Linked DNA regions of Saccharomyces cerevisiae S288C. Changing the gene in region 2 together with the main gene of any one other region gives a genetic interaction. Each region holds a gene or a part of one and is shown on either strand. Other genes may lie near its edges.

What was found. A genetic interaction does not mean that the proteins touch.
Region 1: mutations in SUR1 (region 2) and RUD3 together harm fitness more than expected from each alone (negative genetic interaction), as found in Saccharomyces cerevisiae (6 studies listed by BioGRID, with this or other methods).
Region 3: mutations in SUR1 (region 2) and VPS74 together harm fitness more than expected from each alone (negative genetic interaction), as found in Saccharomyces cerevisiae (5 studies listed by BioGRID, with this or other methods).

The regions. Positions count from the first base shown.
Region 1 is NC_001147.6:745,815-752,135, forward strand, and holds RUD3 (Rud3p), read right to left. Parts: upstream 3,166-6,321; coding exon 1,711-3,165; downstream 1-1,710. Other genes in the region: SPR2 (Spr2p), read right to left, coding at 1-489; AIM41 (Aim41p), read right to left, coding at 911-1,468; RFC1 (replication factor C subunit 1), read left to right, coding at 3,487-6,072. UniProt on the Saccharomyces cerevisiae protein: Involved in the structural organization of the cis-Golgi and in vesicle targeting/fusion stages of ER to Golgi transport.
Region 2 is NC_001148.4:449,057-454,648, forward strand, and holds SUR1 (mannosylinositol phosphorylceramide synthase catalytic subunit SUR1), read right to left. Parts: upstream 4,002-5,592; coding exon 2,853-4,001; downstream 1-2,852. Other genes in the region: ATP-binding cassette multidrug transporter PDR12, read right to left, coding at 1-1,321; LCL1 (Lcl1p), read right to left, coding at 4,374-4,679; LGE1 (Lge1p), read right to left, coding at 4,936-5,592. UniProt on the Saccharomyces cerevisiae protein: Involved in the synthesis of mannosyl phosphorylinositol ceramide. Catalyzes the addition of mannosyl to phosphorylinositol ceramide. Suppressor of RVS161 mutation.
Region 3 is NC_001136.10:1,219,402-1,225,042, reverse strand, and holds VPS74 (Vps74p), read left to right. Parts: upstream 1-2,893; coding exon 2,894-3,931; downstream 3,932-5,641. Other genes in the region: WIP1 (Wip1p), read right to left, coding at 17-286; PHO92 (mRNA-binding phosphate metabolism regulator), read left to right, coding at 649-1,569; FRQ1 (frequenin), read right to left, coding at 1,712-2,284; CTS2 (putative chitinase), read right to left, coding at 4,095-5,630.

The sequences.
Region 1 (6,321 bases), on a different chromosome or scaffold from region 2:
TTCACTATTATTGATGATGCTCATATTAGTTACTAAAATATCTTCATACGCGTAAATTTTCGGTTTCGGAATCTCTTCAAATACCTCGTCTGCCCCGACTTTCTTCTGTATGCTGTCTTCCATAATTTCATGTAGAATACTTTCAATTTGAGAAAACTTTTTGTGCTCCACTATTGTTAGAGGATCTTCCAACAGAAAATCTATAACAGATTTGGAAGCAAGGACCGTATCGGTATGTTCTTGAGAATCAACAGCTCGCGGCTCCTCCGGTAAATCTGCTAATACTAAGTATGGATTAAACTCCATTTGATTTAGCAGAGCTGGTGGTAATGAGTTTTTATCCAAATGGAAAACTAAAGGACCAGGTTCATTTTGTCCTGTTTCATCTTCTTCATACTCATCTGATGTAAAAGTAATTGAGTATTTGGTAGCAAACACTTGTGCCATAAAAAAGGCGAAGAAAAGGGAGGATAGATATAATCCTAACATTTCAATAAGGATCAAAAAAGAGAATGGGATACAAAACTTTACTTTCCTTCCTTTCGTGCTAGTTACTGGCTTGGTGTTGTTCTTTAGTTATGTGTAGCAATGTTAGCTGCTGGTTTTTTGTCTTGGATAACTACAAATACTTTCAGGAAAAGAATAATTTATACATTATACAAAAGCGGCCTCTTTTATAAACAAAGGGCAAATGACAGTTAGCAAGACATATCATGGTTGCCATGGGACACAAAAACGTAGCCACAAAAAAAAAAAAAAAGGTGAAAGGAAGCGAGCATTAATTTTTTATTTTAATATGTAACTGTGATATGTATTAACAAAGTATCTTTCATAATTTTTGACGAATATTTTTACTTCTTTTTTACTATTGAAGGTTGGGCTGTGATTCATCGCGCAGAAAACAAGGACCTCATTTGAAAATTTCCTTGAATTGCTTAACAATGCTATTTTTGATGGCAGTTGGAGATGTCTTCCATTCTGTTGGCAATGACTTCCAGTCGATTTCTCCCATGATTTCCTTAATTTGAACTTTTTTTTCACCTGCCTTTGTTTTGAGGGCGTCCAGTAATTTCTTCACATTTTGATCAATATCAAGCTCTGAAGACACTGGCAATTGGTCCATATATTTCTTTATAATGTCCATTTCACCTTGCTCTTTGGCCACCAGATCGTCCCTCTTGTTAGCAAGGAACTCATTGATCGAGTCCTTTCTTTGAGATATTAACTTGGAGTACATGTCGTACAGGGAGTACTCATCAGCGCTCTTCCCTTTTAAAGCAATTTCTTTGTTTTTTATGGCAGATAACATATTTCTGATTGCTGTCTTCTTCATCTCATCCTTGGCAATCATAGCCTTTTTCAAATCTCCTTTCAATAGGCTGACTGCAGCCGTGTAGGCTGGAGAACTGTTATAACGAATGAAGGTTAGTCTATTTGAAACAAGTGGCCTAATTGATTGTCTGAACATCTTGGAATAGTGTTATTTGCTGTATTCCCCAACTTTATCCCAAAGTCTTTTTTCTCCAGTTCATTACTTCTGTAAAAAATGTTGCAGATCCTTTTTCTTCCCTTTAATTTTGAGTCCTTCCCCCCGAAAAGTCCCAGATGCCGGGTAGATGTGATTTATATCATTTATCGTTTATAGAGTATAAATTGGGTGATGCTACACTAAGTACGTATGCTCTTCTGAACTAGACTTAGTTTGCCCGATTAGTCTTTCTCACTCTCTTTCTCGAGGTAGTTGGTCCAAAGCGATACAAAGCTTTCCGTTCTCGATACAGCGCTTGAATTCTTAGACTCATTATTCGAGATCAAGCCGGCCTGTTGTTTCTTATCTTCATCCCAGTTTAAGAAATTGGACAGTAATTCAAGAACTTCAAACTTTCTTGGGTCTGCTCTGGGTATGGACACGAAAGATATCAATAGATTGGATATCAGTTCTTTATCAACGGATTCAGAATCGCTTGATTTCTTCAACATGGCCAGTGCCTTTGTTAAATGCTCATTTAGTATAATGGCTTCGTGACGTAGTTTTCCGATCTGTAAGATGTGCTGCTTAGATTCTTCCTCATATTTTTCCTTCATAGAGGCGTCCTCCTTCATGGCTTCTAGCTGTTTTTTCATGCTTTCTAAAGCTTCTGTGTCATTGTTGTGCGTTTCTATCTCCGTGTCAAGTTGGGATCGTAAAGATTTGACTTCCTGGTCTCTCTCTCTAGCCTCTTCTTCCCTTTTGTTGTCAACTTCTTCTATCTTCAATTCCAGATCATTTAGAGAATTCTTTAATACTGCTTTCTCCTTTTCATGGGATTCCAAAGCCTGTCTCAATTCATCTCTTTCTGTTCTCAAGTCAGATATATCTTGTTTATTATTTTCTAAGATTATCATGAGTTCCTGAACTTGGAGATTTAATTGATCTTTTTCCTTCCTGTAAGTGTTAAGTTCCTTACTATGTTTTTCAATTATGTCGTGTTTTTCATCTTCCAAAGCTTCTATCCTTGATTCGTATTCCAAAAAAACCTCTTCTGTACTTTCTTGCTCCTTTTCTAGGTTTTCTAACTCTGTATTTAGGGTCACAATCGTGGATTGTAATTCAGAGTTTTCGGTCTTGGTAGCTTCAAGTTTCTTCTTCAATTTCAGATTTTGTGATTCATATTCAGTAAGCTGCTCCTGCACTTCCTCTAATTGTTTTTGTGCTTCTTTCATCTTATTAAAAATTGATTTCATAGAAGATATCTTGCTCAATAATGTGTCATACTGTGTTTTGAATTCGTCTCTTTCCTTAATAACATTTGCTAGTTCATTTTTGAAGTCTTCATTAGGCGTTTCTTGATCCTTCTTGTGGCTTAGTTCCAATTTTAAACGTTCAATTTCTTCCCTTAGTTCCTTCATCTCATCACCAGCCTTTTTGTCCTCTAAAGGATTTATGGTGTCTACAGTCAGGCCGTCATTTACTTTTTGTTTGTCTACTCCTTCAGAGAGATCTTTCCCCTCATCGTCCGGGCTTGCCACGATACCATCAGCCTCTGGATCTGTGGACATTTTTGGAGGAACGGTGACGTTTACAGAATTGATGATTTCTTCAGGTTTATTGACGGTTTCATCAACGTCCTCCACATGAGGATGACTCTTGGCCTTCTTACCTGTTTTCTTCTTATTTTTACCCATTCTAATTAAAAAAAATGCAATTGTTTGAGGGGATCAAGTGGAAAGTATACACAAGCATCTACTATATAGCTGTTTATACAAGATTTTCTTGTTCTTCATGAATGGTCTTTCTGTTTGTTTCCATTTTTCGTATCGAAATGAGCACGAAATTCAAAAAGAAGTACTGAAAAAAAAATCAACATGAGAAGGAACAGCCGATCTCTCAGCGAAAACAGTGGCTTCGTTGAATACGCTGCTTGATCCTTACACAATAAGGAATTGGGTATCTCGCAGTTAATTTTATAACTTCAAGTCACTTCATAATAAACTAAGCTGAAGAAAATGGTCAATATTTCTGATTTCTTTGGTAAAAATAAGAAATCCGTAAGATCGTCAACATCCAGACCTACGAGACAGGTGGGTTCGTCTAAACCAGAAGTTATCGACTTAGATACTGAATCTGACCAAGAATCAACCAATAAAACACCAAAGAAGATGCCTGTAAGTAATGTAATTGATGTATCAGAGACACCTGAAGGAGAAAAAAAGCTACCTCTTCCCGCTAAGAGGAAGGCCTCTTCACCAACTGTAAAGCCAGCAAGTTCAAAAAAAACCAAACCCTCCTCTAAAAGTTCAGACTCGGCTTCGAATATTACGGCTCAAGATGTACTAGATAAGATTCCATCCTTGGATCTGTCAAATGTTCATGTGAAAGAGAATGCTAAATTTGATTTCAAAAGCGCAAATTCAAATGCGGATCCAGATGAAATTGTTTCTGAAATAGGTAGTTTTCCAGAAGGAAAGCCAAATTGTTTATTAGGTCTAACAATTGTCTTCACAGGTGTTCTGCCAACCTTGGAGCGTGGTGCATCGGAAGCTTTAGCGAAAAGATACGGAGCAAGGGTTACTAAATCAATTTCAAGCAAAACTTCTGTAGTAGTCTTAGGTGATGAAGCAGGGCCAAAGAAACTAGAAAAAATCAAGCAATTGAAAATCAAAGCCATAGACGAAGAAGGCTTTAAGCAATTAATTGCTGGGATGCCTGCTGAAGGTGGTGACGGGGAAGCTGCCGAAAAAGCACGTCGAAAATTAGAAGAACAGCATAATATTGCTACCAAAGAAGCAGAATTGCTTGTTAAGAAAGAAGAGGAAAGGTCGAAGAAGCTTGCAGCCACTAGAGTTTCTGGTGGCCATCTGGAGAGAGACAATGTGGTTAGGGAAGAAGATAAATTGTGGACAGTAAAGTACGCACCAACGAATCTACAACAGGTCTGTGGTAACAAAGGAAGTGTAATGAAATTAAAAAACTGGTTGGCTAATTGGGAAAATTCAAAGAAAAATAGTTTTAAACATGCTGGTAAAGATGGCTCTGGTGTTTTCAGGGCTGCAATGTTATACGGTCCTCCTGGTATTGGGAAGACAACTGCTGCTCATTTAGTTGCACAAGAGCTTGGGTATGACATTCTTGAACAAAACGCTTCTGATGTTCGCTCTAAAACTTTACTTAATGCCGGTGTTAAAAACGCTCTTGATAACATGTCTGTAGTGGGATATTTCAAACACAACGAAGAAGCTCAAAATTTGAACGGGAAACATTTTGTCATTATCATGGATGAAGTTGATGGTATGAGCGGAGGCGATAGGGGGGGAGTTGGCCAGCTGGCACAGTTTTGTCGTAAGACGTCAACTCCATTGATTCTAATTTGTAATGAACGTAATTTACCAAAAATGAGACCATTCGATAGAGTATGTCTTGATATCCAATTTAGAAGACCTGATGCTAACAGTATCAAATCAAGATTAATGACAATTGCGATCAGAGAAAAGTTCAAACTTGATCCAAATGTCATTGATAGGTTGATACAGACTACAAGAGGTGATATCCGCCAGGTTATTAATCTACTTTCAACGATATCTACGACTACTAAAACCATAAACCATGAAAATATCAACGAGATCTCAAAGGCATGGGAAAAGAATATTGCCCTAAAACCCTTTGACATTGCCCATAAAATGTTGGATGGACAAATATACTCAGACATAGGTTCAAGGAACTTTACACTGAATGATAAGATCGCATTATATTTTGATGACTTTGATTTCACACCCCTAATGATTCAGGAAAACTATTTATCTACAAGACCAAGCGTTTTGAAACCCGGCCAGTCACATTTGGAAGCAGTTGCTGAGGCGGCTAACTGTATTTCATTAGGTGATATTGTCGAAAAGAAGATTCGTAGTAGTGAGCAATTATGGAGTCTTTTGCCTTTGCATGCTGTTCTTTCATCTGTTTATCCAGCATCAAAAGTTGCCGGCCATATGGCGGGAAGAATCAATTTCACAGCTTGGTTGGGCCAAAATTCTAAATCTGCCAAATATTATAGGTTACTGCAAGAGATACATTATCATACAAGACTAGGTACATCTACTGATAAAATTGGACTAAGGCTGGATTACCTACCAACTTTTAGAAAAAGATTATTGGACCCATTTTTGAAGCAAGGTGCTGATGCAATTTCATCTGTCATAGAGGTAATGGACGATTACTATTTGACCAAAGAAGACTGGGATTCTATTATGGAGTTTTTCGTAGGTCCTGATGTGACCACAGCCATTATCAAAAAGATACCAGCTACGGTTAAAAGTGGATTCACGCGGAAATACAACAGTATGACACATCCAGTCGCAATTTACAGAACAGGTAGTACTATTGGTGGTGGTGGTGTTGGCACCAGTACTAGCACCCCCGATTTCGAAGATGTCGTTGACGCAGATGACAATCCAGTTCCCGCAGATGATGAAGAAACACAAGATAGTAGCACAGACTTGAAGAAGGATAAACTTATCAAGCAGAAAGCCAAACCTACGAAGAGGAAGACTGCCACCAGTAAACCTGGTGGTAGCAAAAAAAGGAAAACGAAAGCATGATTTATTCATACACTAAGATTATAATTACACTTTTCTTCTCATTGATTTTGTGAGCCGTTCTATCACAGATACGAAAACTGTGTGGTGATAATAGCTCGATGGGTATCATCACCGCCCTATATAAAATACTCTTATTAGTATAGTACACAAAATAATGTACCTGTACGTACAACCGTCGTTAAATATTACATTTATTAGGTCTAACATTTGTACCTAATATGTCATTCCAAAATTATGCGTTGCAATTGA
Region 2 (5,592 bases):
AGTTCAACCAGTATTCCTCAAACTCTGAACTAGATTTTGGAACTTTATCTTCATAGCCAGGTTTAATATCCAATGTCCTATTTTCAAAATCGACCGTGACGGATGTTAAAAATTCCGCAGAGGTCATTCTGTTTGGTTTAACCCAACCCATTCTTTGGAAATATCCAACAGCTTTATCAGCAGGACCGAAGTAAATCTGTCTACCGTTATATAGAACAGTAGTTTTATCAAATAATTCATAAATATTTTCACCAGCTTGGTAAATAGCAACAATAGCAGAGTTGTTTACCATATTTGTAGCCGTTCTAATGGCTTGGGCAAACTCTAAAGCAGTAGAGGCATCCAAACCTCTTGTGGCGTTATCCCAAGAGTAGATGGAGGCATTCATTGCCTGAGCTTCAACCAAGGAAACACGCTTACGTTCACCACCAGAAACACCTCTTACGAAATCGTTACCGACTTTGGTGGCATATGTGTGTCTTAAACCAAAAACGGTACACCACATATCTCTGATGTTATCAACGTATTGCTTTCTCGTCATTTTGTCAATTCTAACACGAGGAGTCTTACATTTTAGGGCAAAATCGATTGTTTCCTTCACAGTAATTTTTGGGAAATGGAAATCAAGCTCGGGACAGTAAATAACGTAACCTTTATACTTAGACATCATTTCGCTTTGGTCCAGACCATCATAGGAGAATTCACCTTGTACATCAACTAATTCTGAAGTTTCACCAGATAGACACTTTAGGAAAGTGGAGCAACCTGCACCTGGCCTACCGACGACAAATAACATTTCACCAGATTCAACGACACCCGTACAATTTTGAATAATATTCCTTAATGGGACATCAGATTTCTTGGTAAATTTACTTATGAGATGTGCCGGTATACTAGCAATATTTCTAAACATCTCTTCAACACTAGGCCCATATGCAGCAGAGGCATCAACACCGACTGCTGTTAGGTTTTTAAAGGCAATACCAGAATCACCAGGTTCAATTCCCTGTTCCAATTGACGAGACCTCAAATAATGTAATAGTGAGCGCAAATCAAAATCTAAGTCATTAATTTCAAAAGAGTCCATTTCCTTCTTTGTCTTATGTGAAATGACTCTCGCCATAGACTCCAACCTTTCAATACCTTCTTCATTGGAAAGAATGTTTGAAAGGTGACGGGATAGCTGAGAAGTGGCTGCCAAATCCTCATTATCAACTTGGCCTTCGGAGGCAGCGTAGGATTGTACCGAATTAGCATAATCATCGTCATGGTTCGATCTCGACGAAATGTCTTTCTCAATATGTTCGTCAGTCGAAGACATTTTTTTATTAATAAGAACAATAACAATAAATCTGTAAACCTTTTTTTTAAGTGAAAATTAGTAACTGGGAAAACAGAGAGAAAAAAAGCAGAAGAATATATTGATTGAAGAATAAAACTGTTTAACGTTCCCGTTTATTTTTCAGATTATCCTATTGTTATACTATTATCGTTCTTAGTCTTTTCTTTATATGATAAAGAGAACCCCAAAAAGAGAACTACCTTGTACCATGGTTGTTAATAAAATTGGATTTGTTGATATATTTATATGATTAACATTTCATTCAGGATAGAATTGCCTAAAAGGTAAGAAATAATCATAAGAACCGTCGAGAAAATGTGATACCGAATCCCTGCGGTGGACGTGGCTAAAGAATAGTGAAGAAAAACCGGCTGTAGTGTATGTTTTGTATGAGCCATAGCCGAAAGATCGAAAAAGTAGCAGATCCCAAACACTTTACGGAAAAAAATCGAGAAATTCCGGCGAATCGGCTCTTAACGGATGCAGGGTGTCAGTCTGATGAGCCATAAAAAGAAAGATGCACCATTGCCAAGCTGCCCTGAGGAAGGGTTTTGGTTACCCTGTGAGATGGATGCGGTAAAATGACCAAGGGACCGGTTGGTAAGGGACCAGGTTAGGAACCGTGAGCGGCGAAAAAAGCGCGCATTTGCACAATTATATTATTAACAGGTGCCTGAATTTTAAGAACCGTCCACCATCACAGGTGAAACAAATCAACAGAGTCCTGCCGGCTGGTAAACAATCCATCTTTGGTTTAGAGGCCACTATCGTCAGAATAATATAAGGTCTATTTTCGGCGCGAAAGTCCTGATGAGGTAAATCGTAGTCAGGCGCCTGAAAGTCTAAACTAAACAATTGAAAGCCGAAACCGAAACGCGGAAAAGTAAATGGCACTCTTCGAGCGGCTACTAGTCGAGTAATTACATTTCTAAATTAGTCTGTGCAATAGGGAAAAGAGAACATTCTTACTCCGTTGCGATGTTTCTGAGCATAAGGCGCGCGCAAAAGCACGCACGCATTGACCGGAGCGGCGCCCACACACGGTTGTTATCCTAGTTTTTGTTGTGAGGAAGTGTTCATATTCTTTTAGGTTATATTTATATATATATATATAAAAGTTGAATGTAAAATGCAAAACAAAGATATCGTAGTATAGAGGGTAATATCACAGTAATAAAACAGGCCTGGTTTGAAGAATGATTATGTTGATGCTGGAGGTCGTAAATTGTAACATGAAATAGGGAGCATGCGAAAAAAAAAAATGACGAGCAAAAAAAGCAAGGTAGACAGGCGTGCCAAGCGGAGTAGTATGTCGTAAGAAGCGAGCAAATAGTACTCCTTGTCTTGCAAAGTAGCGAAGTACAAGACTGGTCTTCAGGCTGCTAGAGATTTGTATCAATTTTGTATTTTTTTTTCATCCCATGCAATTTTCCTTCCCATTTCTTTTGCTTTTTTTGCCGCGAATTGAAATATAAAGTCTGATATGAATTGTTGGAGTCATACCATTCTCTTACGAGCTGTTATTTCCCAGTGAGTACTTAGAAGAATCATTCTTTTCTAAATCGTAAACATCACTTTTCCTTGAAGATTTTAGTAACACTATGTTTGTATTGGAATCTTTCCTCAATCGTTTCTGCTGCCTTGCCAGCAAAGTGGCACTGGCAGTATCACTGGTACTTTTACTCAACTTTAGTCTTAAGCCTAATGAATTTAGAATTGTGACAAATCTTACTTTTATAGCATTAAGTTTCCAATTTTTGGTTAGATTACTGAAATTCTTGGAACACAACCAGCAATAGAACGTGAATTCACCATATAGGATAAAGAAGCCAAAAATAAATCCGGTAACGACGCAGGATAAGATGTGGTTTTCTAGTGCTTTCATCAATTTTGCATCATCTAAATGCCATGAAGAGCCTTTAGTAATGGAGAAAAATGAATAACTATGCATCTTGTAGTAAGCAGGTTGTAGGATTCTTACTGTCCCGTTCTTAGGTATGCGCCATCTTTTGTACTGCTTCCAAATAACACTTAAAAACAACGGACCAGTAGACCCCATAATAGTCATGTAAGGGATAAACCAGTACTTGTCATAGTGTTTCAAAGACTTTAAAGCCTTTAAAAAGAAGGGATGTCTAGGCACAGAACCCATGACATCGTTTGAGACACCTAAAGGTGAAGTCTTTCTTAAGAAGGCCGGGAAAGCTAACAAAGGATCTAGTTTCCTTTCGCAGCCGTCATCTAAATCGATGTATACACCACCATAATGGGACAGGATAAAGTAACGAATGGCATCGGCACGTTCTATGGGGTATTTGTAGTTCTCAAAAGTATCGAGAAACCACGGGTATTCTTCCTTTATAAACTCATAGGCCATCTCGTCCGTCCATAGGATGTACTTGTAATCTGGATGTAGATCGAGACATTTTTGTCTACCCTCTTTCCAGTGCTCAGGGATGTCTTCCGTTTTATAAGTCTGATGTATGATTTTAGGTATTAGTTGAGGCTTTGGAGGTGCATCTGGATTTAAGTCTTCCTCAAGTATAGCATCTTTAACAGTATCGTCAATACACAACGTTAGCAAATCGAAAGTGTAGTATATTATAGATAACAGGAGGAGTATGTTGAAGCAGATAAGGTATTTTAATTCTTTTCTCATCGTGAGTGCAACAGCGGAAAATCAGAAAAATAGAGTAAAGCAAATATGCGAAAATGAAAAGTGTCTTCCGATTTATTGTTTGTTTGTATGTGTTTATTTGAATCCGATGATGAATATTACAACAGGTTAAAGAAAACAAAACATGCGAAGCAAAATATGACGGGAATGTTGGCACCTTTTATTTAACTATATTAGAAAAGAAAAAGCAGAAAACGTAAAATATCTGCGTAAGCCTCCTCCCTGTGTCTTCACTCCTCTAACCATTTTTTCCAAGTAGAAAAGTTTATATATAACAAGAGGGGAAAAAAATGTGGAAATTGGCAGTGGACGTGAGAACAAAAAAGCACCGCTGAAAGGCTTGGCCAAGGAAGTTTAGAAAGGCGATAATAACGAGGTAAGAAGAAAGAAAAAAAAAGAAAAAGATGGCTTAGCAAAAGATTGGTTTTTATCCCGGGGGAGTTGTTGTGGCCGGGAGCAAGAGAAGAGACGCAGCAAGCGTGGGTCAATGATAATGACGCAGCGCGACGCGACGCGACGCGAATTCAAAAGTGTGAGTTTGCTCGGGGATAGTAATAATGCGGGGGGGAAGACGAAACAGACCGTGTGTGGTGTGGGTGGGATTTCGTGGGAGCACGTGGCGAGCAGAGGAAGAGCCTCACACAATGCTGCGTTCTTCATAAAGGGGATCAAAGCAAATAGATAATCGATTCCAAAGACAGATGGCTGACACGCACTTTCACAGTTTCGCAGTTTTTTCTTTTTTCGTAGTCGCTTTCCTAGTCGCTTTCCTGGCTCTTTACCTAATCGGGCTTAACCTAGCAGTACCTTTTCTCGATTCATGAAATCAAAACGCTAGTCACTTCCTTATAATTTCCTTTTTCAATTTCCGCCGCTTGCGTTTACGTAGTTTATCTATTTATAGGTACGGTATACCCTACTGCATTAATAACAATGAGTCCAGCTTTTCTTGGGTCAGTTGAATATTTAATGCATGCTTGTCGCACTGGTTATTTAGGAGCCGCAATTCTAGCTCATTAGAATTGATTTTTAGGTTTAGTTCTTCCAAAGCGGAATCGATGGAATCGCTCTCTTTGAAAACTTCCCTCGCCTTTTCACATTCACTTTCGGTGTTGTTTGTCTTTTTCACATTTTTATCAAAATCTGTCAAGTAAATAAAGGGGGAATCTTTCATATCTAGTATTCTTTTCTTCTTGACGACGCTGCTGCTAGAGCCGTCGCTGTTACTTCTATTTTCTGGTACGTGTACTGGGTAACCCTTTGCATAATAGCCATTCGATGGGGGAGGCGGTGGTGTCTCACGGTGGTGGTAATTATTGTAAGTATGGCTGCTGGAATATGGATAAGCACTGCTGTGATATGATCTATTGTTGGTTATAGACGATACTGAAGGTGGTGGCGGAAGCCCGTTGCTGGTGCTGCTAGTGCTGCTGTTCCCACTACTACCATTTCTGCTGCTGGTGCTGCCAACGCTCATCGGTTGTTGGCGTGGATGATCTGCCTGCATGTTCCGGTATCTGGACTTGACTCTTTTTTCGTCATTATCTTCTTGCGAGGCGCTCGTGGTCCTGCC
Region 3 (5,641 bases), on a different chromosome or scaffold from region 2:
GCTTAAAAATACCCCTTCATTGACTATCCAGAAAAGCCTGCGTTGCAGCTTCAATATGATAAGGATATACTTCCCTCAAACCTTCTGCAGTTGCCCTTGTTCTAGCATCCAGCAGAATTTTTCTTAAAATGGCCTGAAATCCACATGCCAATAATAATTTCTTGTTATATTCTTGACTAGACTCTTGATCTTCATTTTGCCGTTGGAGAAGATCTTCTAGCTTATTCTCCTCCGCATCTAAACTAAGCTGCCGTAGCAAATAATTGGCCAATGCTTCCGTATCCATGGAAGAATGTTAGGAACTGTTGCTATTGTTGTACTTTGGTTATACGACAGTAAGTAACGTTGACTTGGTGACCGAAAATAGACACGAAATCGCTACCCGTTTCCCCAGAATATCACTCCTCACGATGTACCTCGGCGGCTAATCTTTTTGGTAGCCTTTTGTGATATATATATAAATAAATAAGTATACATACATATATATATATATATATTTATACAGCTACATTGTTTTCCTCCAAAATTTTCTGTTGGTTATGAATCGCAAAAGAAGTTTTCAGATTGTGTCCTCTGTTACTATTTCGTTAAGAAAGGAAGATATCGTCTACGGCTGGTGTGACGTAAGTATTGCGTTGTGCTCTAAAAATGAATCAAATCTGGTCTACAGGTCCCCCAAATTTTTACTTCAACTCTGAATGGAAAGAAAATAAGAGAAATGACAGGACAATTGAAGACTCTTTAAGAGAACTAGATGGGTTGATCCATTCCTTGGAGAGAACTCATATTGAAGTACAAACAAACCCAAAGCTAAAGAACGATGTCACAGCTTTAAATGATATTAACAAGAAAGAAAATAAAGAAGAGATCACTCATGAAAACTATACACACCAGATTAATAGTATTCCATTGACAAGCTCAAATTTAAATCGGCATTTCTCCTTTTCTAGAGACTACAACCAATCTGATAATAGCAATAATAATTATTACAGGGAATATTTATCCAAACCAAGGTATTTGCAGCAGTCAACTAAAGAACAAACTTTCAATGAAATTAATAAAAGAAAAAGTGCTGCAATTATTCCCCCTTGGTTAAATATTCCAGAAAACTCAAGATTTTTTGTAATAAAGTCCTCGTCTTTGAAGCATGTCAAAAGGTCGTTTTACAACGGAATTTGGTCGTCTACTCATTTCGGCAACAAAAGGCTATCTGAGGCATATAAAAAGCTTAATTCGGGAGCCAAAGTGTTTTTATTTTTTTCAATCAACACATCAGGAAGATTCTGTGGCGTTGCAGAAATGGTATCGGATTTGAAAATGGATTTGGACACCAGTATATGGGAAGATGAACAAAAATATGGCAAAGCCTTTAAAGTAAGATGGGTGATCGTGCGTGATATAAATAACAGATCGTTAAAAAGGTTTTTGATACCATCCAATGAAATGAAACCGATAACACATTCCAGAGATACTCAAGAAATTCCATATTCGATTGGAATTTCAATAATTAATCTATTTAAAACTCAAGATTCTGATATTTTCTCCTTCTTGGATGAGACGTATGAATAGACCTTATCCCTCATTTATCAACATTTTATTCTCATTTATTATTAGTATTATTATTATTTTTAATATTATTTTTATTTAAAATTATCCTAAAATTACTTCTACTGTTATAACATCCAATCCATAAGAAGCAAAAACAAAGTTTTCATATTAAGCCATCGTAAAGGTTTAAGGCACCAATAATAGAGGGATCGACTTTAGAACCTTCTCTGAATTCGTCCAGCGTAATGTAACCATCTTCGTTCTTATCCATCAACTTGAAGATCTTCTTTACCCTCATTTCGGGCGTTGCCTCATCCTCATTAAGTGTAACCATAGACCCCATCATTTTATAAACACTCGCCACAATGGTTAGCATTTCATCAAATGTAATATATCCATCATGGTTCAAATCATAAAGTTCGAAAGCCCAGCTCAGTTTTTCCTCCAAAGTTCCTCTGGACGTTGTACTCAAAACTGTGATAAACTCTTCAAAATGTATGAATCCATTGTTGTCTTTATCAAAAACTGTAAAAAGGTGATTAGCAAAATCTTCAGGAGAACCAAATGGAAAAAACTGTTTGTATATCTTAACAAAATCTTCCCTAGCTAGTTGGCCACTAGGGCAATCCCTCAAAAATCCTTTATGCCATTGCTGGATTTCTCTTCTATCAAAATAGGTGGATTGTTTCAAACATGTCAGGTCATCTTTGGAAAGCTTTGACGTCTTGGCTCCCATTTTTTTTTTGAATCAAAAACAGTTTTCAAGCACAAAATAACTCTCGCCGATTCTTAAACTAGCAACAATTATAAAACAGGAGGTAATATCCCTAGTTCATCAGTTCAATCGTTGACAAATTAAACATTATTTCAGTACTCTATGGTATAATAATAAAAAATACACCGAAGAGTTACCCTTTTTTCGTTTTTAATGATCAATTCTGGCTCATTTTTTTACTTCCTGAGCAGTCAACTACTACTGAAAAAAAGAGGCTAATGGGTACGCATTTACCTAAAAACAATTAGATCCCTGCCTTGGATCGTAATCTTGTTTATCTATCCTTTTTGGACATTGACATCTATTTGTGTCGCAGTTAATTGCTTTCTGGGTACGTTGACTTTTTCAGTTCTATATCGGCCCGTTGCTTACTCTGTTCAACTCACTTATTCTTTTGTTTCGGTTTGGGCTGCTGCATTTATAGATTAAAAATAAATTTCAAATTTCCACGCTAACAAATAGAGCTAAATTAGCAGTTTCATTGTTGGCTATATTTTCATTACAACTTTTGATCTGATAACGTAAAAGAATTCAAACAAAAACTATCTAAAAAAATACAAAGCAAAAATCATGTCTACTTTACAACGTCGTAGAGTCAATAGGGCGGATTCTGGAGATACTTCCTCCATTCATTCTTCTGCTAACAATACCAAAGGAGACAAAATCGCAAATATTGCTGTTGACGGGGATGATGACAATGGAACAAACAAAAAGATTGCATATGACCCAGAAGAATCGAAATTGAGAGACAACATCAATATCCCTACGTTAACGTTGATGGAAGAAGTCTTATTGATGGGCTTAAGAGATAGAGAAGGATATTTGTCGTTTTGGAATGATAGTATTTCATATGCTTTGCGTGGTTGTATAATTATAGAATTAGCGTTAAGAGGTAAAATCAGAATCTTAGATGATTCCGCCAGGAAAAGGTTCGATCTTTCCGAAAGGTTGATTGAAGTTATTGACAGTTCCAAAACTGGGGAAGTTTTACTGGATGAAACTTTGCAATTGATGAAAAACGACGAACCTTTGTCAATTTCTAACTGGATTGATCTTTTAAGTGGTGAAACATGGAACCTTTTAAAGATCAACTATCAATTGAAACAAGTAAGGGAAAGATTGGCAAAAGGTTTGGTCGATAAAGGTGTATTGAGAACAGAAATGAAAAATTTCTTTTTGTTTGACATGGCGACACACCCCATTGCAGACGCCAGCTGCAAAGAAGCCATTAAGCGCAGAGTACTTTCTGTACTCGTATCGAGGAACATGGAATTAAGTTACAATGAATATTTTCCGGAGACAACATCTTTCAAAATCATTAGAACTTTAGCTTTAATATGTGGATCATATGGGGCAAACGTATTGGAGAATGTCCTGACTACGTTGGAATATGAGAAGAGAGATAAGGCAATTAGTAGAGCTGAAGAAATAATGGCACAATTTTCGCAATACCCATTTGATTTAGAAAAGGAAACTGAGTTAGGTGTCTCCGTTAATTTAAACAAGGAAGTTAAAGAAGAGATAGAAAACAATCCTGGTCATGATTTACAATTGGAAGTTATTGCTGGTGTATTTGAAGTCTTTTCAAGAATGGATATGCTATTATGAAAATAACAACAAAAATCCTCTCTTTGAAACATAAGGAAAAGTCAAGCTTTTTTTTATAAGCCTCTAACATTAATAAACGAAATTTGTATATATGTATATACATATACGGAGTGGATAATAAATAGACCAAACTTTTTGTTATTATATACGCCCACATTCGTATTCATTGCTTTCTTGAATCCAAATGCTTTAAATATGGAGATAAAAATCCGCCATCGCCATATTTATTCAAGTAATATTTTTTAACTCTCACATCTTGAAATATTGATGGTTTTGATGACACATTAAAGTGCAAGCCTTCATTAAATGCGTTTATCAACGACCTTGACTCATTTGCATAAGCTTCACCACATGACTCCCACCAAAAGCCTCCGCCTAAATTGTTATGTGTCACATATTCAGCCTTAGTTTTGACTGATTTAGTGTTATCATAACTGATAAATATTGAATTTTTTTCATCAAAGCAATATGCTGAAACATATTTTGGATCGTATTGTTCTATTGTACCAATCTTTGGTAAATTTTTGTAAGGCCAGATGCCCTCCTTGCCATCAGCTTTATCTATTTCTTTAGTGGGCTTGCCCACTCCTTTGAAAATTTTGTTAATTAATACAGTATTTTGATTGAATGGTTCGAATTTGTTATCTTTGATATGGAAACTTCTTCCGTAGGCGGCCATTCCCAGTACTAATTTTCTAGAATTGACGCCAAATCTATCGATCATATAATGCATGGCAAAGTTTCCATTCAATTCCGTCTCACTGAATAGATTGCTGTGATATCCTGTTGTTTCTGACCACGAGCCATAATAATCGTACGTCATCATATTCCAGTAGTCAACATATTGATCAATTTCTGTGATTGGCAAGTAAAATAATTTATCCTTGAATGCAGGTGCCGCAATAGATAATTGAAAATGATCTTCAGTACGTTTCCCAAATATTTGGGATTCGAGGCTGTTTAGTTTTAATCGCAGCATTCTGACCAGTTTCAGATATCCGCGAGGTTCTGATTCATTGTTACCAGGGAACTCCCAGTCTAGATCAATGCCATCAAATCCTAATCTGAACATTGTTTCCACCGACGAATCAACAAAATTTTGTAAGAGTTTATCATCTTTAATTATGATTTTGAAATTTTCACTATCAGACCAGCCCCCAATTGACATGATAACTTTAAATTTCTTATCAGAACAGGTATTCTTCAAATAAAATAGTTCACCAATGCAACCTAAGGGTAGGATGTTTTGGACACTATTGTTCGAGCTTTCTTTAATTAGTTCTGAATTTTTAATTGCCAGCGATTTATACAAATTCATTTCTAGATCAGACCAACTATCCGTGTTTTCTATACCACCAGTTCTAGAGTTTATTTTGAAAAATGCATAGTAAATGTGAGACACTTGCTTCAAGTTTATGTCGTGAGGGAAATGAAACCTCGGTTTGTATGGGGACCAATTGGAATAATAGACCCCTGATATAAAGGCTTCGTCTCTTATATGGGTTCCATGATTTTGGACATTACTGGGAACTCGATGTCCGCCATTGTTAAAGTTGTCTCTAATATCATCCGACCTTTGGTTCTTAAAAATTTTATTATATAAACACATTTCAATAATAATCGTTATAAAGATAAGTAGTATTAGTAGGTGAGACACTAAGCTGCTTTTTGATCTGTGCTGAGCTGAGTGTCCTACCATATGATCACTCT